2 linked regions of the Coturnix japonica genome follow. The protein of the gene in region 1 interacts with the protein of each later gene in a pairwise test. Links are inferred from orthologs where the notes say so. Each region holds a gene or a part of one and is shown on either strand. Other genes may lie near its edges. The genes, in order: TRAF3IP1 and OLFM1.

Region 1 (3,827 bases):
AATACATGAATATCAGGGTGCTTCAACATCTTGGTTTTGGTTTGTGATCGCTCCTAGAACAGCTCTAGACCTCCCTCCCTCTTATTTCCCTATCCCAGTTTCTGGCTGGAGAAATAAAATCACGTCCTTGTTTCAGTCTAGAAAGCCCAGGTCTGCTAGATTTTACTAAGGTAGCACCTGGTGATATGGTAATACTTACTGTACATGGTTAACTGCACCAGATCCCTATGTTTTATAGGTAATTATAATGACTGATGATCGGTTGATATTACCAGAGGACAATTAAGATTGAAACAATAATTAATTACGTAGCTGCATAAATGCAGTGTGTGCCTTATTGCATCTATGGCAAGGCTGAGATCAAGCAGGCTAAAAAGGACTACTAAATGCTGTATGAAACCACGTTACAATATATAATAACCACAATTTCTTGCAGGCTATTTCCATCTTACTTTTTCTGTCGTCTTAGATGATTTTTGTGATGCTTCATAATCCTTTTTTGTTTCCAGGATTCTTTTCACAAGTCCACCTGGAGAAAATGAGGATATTTCTCAGAACATGATTCTAAACATTCAAGACAATAACATCAAACCCAACATGAACAGTATTCCATTGTATTTCAATTACTGAGATACAAGATACTTTAAATTTATTTTTCCACTGTCTTATCTGCATACACATGCACATGTGTATACACAGATAGCAATCTGCTAATAATTTATTGGTACAGAGAAATAAGCCTCCCTAAATCACATCCAGTGTGGCCACAATGGACTGAAGGCCCTGAATCAGATATCAGAGGTCACAAGTAAGCATAACCATTGCCATGAACCAGACAATCAATTTTCCTAGAAGCTTTTCTCTAACTTGCCTTGACCAGCCAACCCCTTCACTTATCTCAAAGAGACATACAGAAGATACATGTTTGACATCAGCTGTAAATCCCTCTGCTCGGCTATACAAGACTTCATTTGAGAAACATTTGCCGTGTTCTTGCAAAGTTGCAAGGTTCTGCTCCATCAAAAGGTATTTTGCTGCTGTATTCCCCATTGCAAGAGCTTAGTACTTGGTTTAAACTTGTGGCTTTACTCTTATGTATATGCATACAAATACATACAAAAGCAAACATACCATGCTTCTCATCCTCCACCAGATCCACTTCTGGCTCCTAAACATGCAGGGAGAGAGCTTTAGTTGGAAAAACTTGGTATTACTACAATATAAAATTATTCAACAACATGTCCAGCTAGAAGCTACTTAAACAAGCAAGCTACAAAGGCTGAGAAAAGGTTCTATAATTTATAACATTAACAAACCATTTCCAGCTCTGGCATTTCAGGCACGGGCAAGGCTGCCTCCACCACAAACTGGTCATCATCATCATCAGAAGCCTGCTGGTCTATGATCACATTTGAGACTGCCTTAGCACTACCGTTCCTGATAAGAGATGAAACGAACATGAAAACCTATTAAGTTTTTAGGCCCAATCCCATTCAGATCTATCCCCTCACCTCCTTCCATAAAATAAAGCAGCACACCAAATTCCTTCACTGCCATTACTCCTGAATACACTGCTTTAGTGCTTGACACTTATTTGACATCACCTGCAAGACATTTTGGCCATAAATTCAAGGGGCTGTTTCAGCCTTTTTTTGAGCATGAGATACACTACATGCCTTACAGATCTCTTATATTGATAGTTAAGATTAATATTCCAGGCTTACCTGTTTGAAAGTTCCCAGTGACAAAAAAATTAATCAAATTGTATCTATCATTGAACTTCCTTATGTGGCCACTAACTGTAACTTCTAAATAATACACTGGATTTGCAGAAAGGCTTGAGTTTTCCTGCCTGAATCAGTAGGGTGACTCATCCTGATGCTATTCACTGGCACAGGGTGAACACAACATCTTAGAATACTGTGGCGTAAAAGCCAACAGCATCTTTTCTGCATCACCCACACTTCTCACCTTTCTGAAAGCAAAGCCTCCGTGCTTTCTTGGCGTTTCACTACTCGGGGTGGTGCTGGCCTTGCACTGCCAGGACGAGGAATACGTCTGCAAGAAAAAAGACTTTTCACCTACACTGTAAAAGGAAGCATAAAACCAATGGAAACATCCCCAGAGTAGAATCCTATATGGCAATACCTTCTGACCTAGTAGGAGTCTGAGAAAACCTAACAAGTGTGACCTTCAACAAGAATAGTATCATTTTGGGTAAAACCACCTCTTAGTTTGTCTCACTAAAAATAATCTGGATACTGCACAGTTAACTAGCAATAACAGCAAAAGGAAAAAGTATATTTCCATAAGTAATACAATTACAGTAGCTTATTTCTGGGCAAAGAAAAAGTAAACTGGGATTTGAAAGTCAAGTTCATCTTATCCCTAACACCATACTTCTGAAGTGATGCAACAGACTCAGACTCTTCACAGATCACTCTTAATATAATAAGATTACATCAAGGCACTTTTTGGATTAAGAATGCACATCCAAGACATGAAGTTTCCTTCGTAGAAGGAAATGAAAACAAATAAAATGAACCGTACATGGGATAATATTCATTATTGCACGCCACAAGCACAAACTGCTTCACATTCCCTTGCTATTTTCCAATTGACGGTTGTAATGTTATAATGGGATGGAAAGTACTAGGATAATAGCAGGGTGGCAAAGTCTTTGGCTACAGCAAATGAGAACAAGCCCAAGCACAGCAACCACAGAAACAAAAATGAAGGAAAAGAGCTGCTTGCCTTTGAATGGCCTCAAACACACAGGGAACTCCAGCAAAAAACACCCTCATCTCCACTGCCAACCCTTAAATGAGGTCTGGGAAGGGGTGGATCCTGGCTCCAGCCCTTCCAATCACTCAGACACACTGCATGCTCCTGAGCTCCCTTAGGCTGGCCCTGCCTTCCCACCAGGTGCTCAATCACTGCTTCAGCATTTCCACTACAACCATGTGACCTCCAGACACCACTGGTGCTTCACTCAGACAGAATAAAGAACAGGAACCAACCTTTGGATAGCCTGAGGTGGAAGATCATTGGGTGCTTCATCGTTTTCAGATACAGCAGGTTTTTCAGGATCAAGGTTCTCTGCTTCATCTTCTATTCAATAGAAAAAAATGTAATAGTGGCTTACCTGCCACGTAGAAAATGCAAATCTAATTCTTTACAACAGTATTTCAAGCCTTATCAACATTATACTTTAATGTGTTAATGAAATTAATCATATGACAAACTAAGTGCAACTCTACAAGCTTTATATATCCAAGGACTCAGCTGATTTCTTGCTCTCACTGCATCTTGATGTCTACCACACATGTTGCTTACAAGATAGAAAGGAGAATTTCACCCTCACCATTCACCACTGCCCCAGTTATCTGCTGCTGTAGGAAAGGTTTTGTGAATCGCTTTTAACATGAGCTGAACCCACAAATACAAGTAATGGGAGGAAAAAAAAAATGTCATGTGCAGGCATTAAGAAAATGGAAATGGTACGTTTTAAAGTGGTTGTTGCAATAACTACCTGTGACAAGAAGTTCCCCACAGGATCTGCTTCAAGTTAAAAAAAAAAAGAAAAAAGTAGTAATAGTTTATGACCATTTTATGTCCTTAGGTTTCTCTCCCCTTCGGAAAGCACTTAACCTGAATTACAAAGCACTTGCACAGATTGCTTTTTGGTATTCTCTTTACTAACAACGACCTGAATAAGGTCTACTAAGAGCATGCAAACACAACCAAATTGCATTTTGCTACAGTCCTTTTTCTTTCTTAATCTTTAGCATATAGCATAAGTCTAAGAAAAACCCTCACTAAATTGC
Region 2 (2,962 bases), on another chromosome or scaffold:
AACCAATATGGACTTTGCCTGCATTTCCCTGACAATGAGCAATTGTGTTCCTCGCTCCTGCATGCCAAATTAACAGAGCTCAGCACAGCAGCTGCTGTGATTTACTGAGTGGGATCGTAATGGGGCTTACAGGAGAGGAAGGCAGCATCTCCATAGGGTTTAGTTGCAGAAAGGTGCTGCTTGCCCTCTGGAGGGACAGTGTTGGTCCTGTGGCTATGCCAGCTTACCCCCAGGAAAGCTGTGCTATTCTCTCCATTCCCTAATGAGTCTGTGGCGGCAGCCTGAGGTTTGTTCTGGGCACAGGAGGCTTTGGGTGTGTTGTTCTCCAATGCGTGTCTCAGTGAGGTTGGCCCCAAGCAGCTCACTATGGGTTTAGCATCCTAGGCAAATGACTGCCTCTCTGATGGGAGGTCTCAGCTGTTCCCTAACCCCACGTGTTTCTGTTGCTCGCCCAGGTCTGGTACATGGACAGCTACCACAACAACCGCTTTGTCCGCGAATACAAATCCATGGCGGATTTCATGAATACCGACAATTTTACCTCTCACCGTCTCCCTCACCCGTGGTCAGGCACTGGTCAAGTGGTCTACAATGGCTCTATCTACTTCAATAAATACCAAAGCCACATAATTATCAGGTTTGACTTGAAAACAGAGACTATTCTCAAGACTCGCAGCCTGGATTATGCCGGCTACAACAACATGTACCACTACGCCTGGGGCGGCCATTCGGACATCGACCTCATGGTGGATGAGAACGGGCTGTGGGCTGTCTATGCCACCAACCAGAATGCGGGCAACATTGTCATCAGCAAACTGGATCCCAACACACTGCAGAGCCTCCAGACCTGGAACACCAGCTACCCAAAACGCAGCGCTGGGGAGGCCTTCATCATCTGTGGCACGCTCTATGTCACCAATGGCTATTCGGGAGGCACCAAGGTGCACTATGCTTACCAGACCAATGCCTCTACCTATGAATACATCGACATCCCGTTCCAAAACAAGTACTCGCACATTTCCATGTTGGACTACAACCCCAAGGATCGTGCCCTCTATGCCTGGAACAACGGGCACCAAATACTTTACAATGTCACCCTCTTCCACGTCATCAGGTCTGATGAGTTGTAGTCCATCCTTGTTTAGAAACTGATTTAGGAAAACAAACACACGAAAAAAAAAATGTAGAAAAGAAAAAAAAAAAAAAAGGGAGAAACGAATATAAAAAAGAAATGCTAATATTGAGGAAACACACTTTAAATAAGTAAATAAACAAACAGCTGCCAAAATTAAGACCAACATTGTAGAGGATTATTCAGCATAGACCTGACAGATCAGCATTACCTCTACATTTCTAGAAGTCTGGCCCCGTGTTATGGACTCATGACTAACCATGTACTTGCAGCTGGAACTGCACCTGGAGAACCACTTCAGTTTGGGGTTTTGTTTTGTTTCTGTTCCGATAGCAAACCTATAGCGCATACAAAAGAAGTAAGGCAATGACTGTTGGAAGTTTATCCTTGGGAGACTCGATCTCTTCTGTGTGGGGGTTGCATGGACATTTTCCGACATCGCGGGCAGCTGTGATGGATGTGTGATTTGTATTTCTAAGCAGAAAGCTGACCCGTGAGGAGCTCTCGCTGTCTGAACAAGACCTATCACAGGTTAGTTTTATTCGCCTTCCATTGCAGCTACTGTCTCTCAACTGTGTTCTTGTCACTTAGATTAACTGTGCTGAGACCCGAAGTAGCTCATGGATCTGTGTCTTAGTAACTATTAAACACGATGGTTTAAGTATGTATTATGAACAAGTTGTTGTACCCATATTGTTTGAACTTATGTATTCAGCAAATATATTGTATAATGTATGTCTGTTATTTACCAGAGGTGGCGAAACTTTGTATGTCCAGTTTATGCAATGAATGTTGTAAATGCAATGATGTAGTTTGGATTAATAAATGATGGTTTTGTTTCTAAAAAGAAAAAAAAAAAAAAAAGAAAAAGAACAAAAAAAAAAAAGCTCAGTGTTCACCCTTATACACAGATAACCAATTTCATGTTGATAATGACAAGAATATTCTCTTACTGTTATAATATCTACATAGCATTATGGTGGTTGGAAATAGCTTCTGTGTGGAAATTCTGTGCCGTCAGATTCCCATGGGAAGCCCAGTTTATGGAAGTGTGAAGGTAATTACTTCTTTTCTTTCTTTTTTTTTTTTTTAAAGAGGAAAACTTTGTACTATCCACAGTTATCTAAGGAACAATAAAAATATTAGGAGACTTCCCCGCTTTGTTCGTTATGTGTTCTGTGCACGAGCAACCAGGTGCAGCGGGAGAGGATAAGAGGAGTCGCTGTGGGGTTTTGGGGTGATGGCTGCAGCAAGTTGGGTGTGCTCCCAGCTCAGAGCCCTCTGCTTGCATGGCCTGTATGTAGGGCTGGGTCAGAGCTGTAGGACAGACTGGGCTCCATGGGGTTTTGCATACTCTATTTCTTGCCCCTTTGCAAGATGTGTGCGTCTCCCTGTGCATTTGATGGGTCTTCTTTTGGACTTCTGTAGGCTCTCCTGTTGGTTATCCAAGCCAGACTGTGCACTTAGGGGGAGATGGATGTGACTATTTGGGTATGCTGACATACAAGGCATGGCACAATGGCAGAGCGCCGGCGCAGCTCTTCATGCGCCTAATTACCCAAAGTCACTTCTATCATTAGGCGAGGTTTGAGGACAAAAGAGCAAATTTACTTCAAAATATTGATCTGCAAAAAGTAAATTGAATTACAAAACGGCAAAATAATGCTGTTTGCTTTAGGGCGCAGCTACATTTAGACTCTAATTTTCCTAGTGCAATTCATTTAATACGAGACTCAACAGCACAAAACGTCCTTGAACACAACAAAGGCAGAGCAGCTTTCCTGTAACTTGTACCCAAAGTTAATGAGATGAGAAAAGTGCTTTAAGGGG

What was found.
Region 2: the proteins of TRAF3IP1 (region 1) and OLFM1 interact in a two-hybrid assay, tested with the Homo sapiens proteins (2 studies listed by BioGRID and IntAct). The link is inferred for Coturnix japonica from reciprocal best matches to the Homo sapiens genes TRAF3IP1 and OLFM1.

Annotation. Positions count from the first base shown.
Region 1 is NC_029522.1:3,278,664-3,282,490, forward strand, and holds part of TRAF3IP1 (TRAF3-interacting protein 1), read right to left. Parts: intron 3,112-3,827; coding exon 3,021-3,111; intron 2,059-3,020; coding exon 1,972-2,058; intron 1,438-1,971; coding exon 1,317-1,437; intron 1,169-1,316; coding exon 1,132-1,168; intron 530-1,131; coding exon 453-529; intron 1-452.
Region 2 is NC_029532.1:6,128,750-6,131,711, forward strand, and holds the end of OLFM1 (noelin), read left to right. Parts: intron 1-455; coding exon 456-1,130; 3' UTR 1,131-2,286; downstream 2,287-2,962. UniProt on the Homo sapiens protein: Contributes to the regulation of axonal growth in the embryonic and adult central nervous system by inhibiting interactions between RTN4R and LINGO1. Inhibits RTN4R-mediated axon growth cone collapse.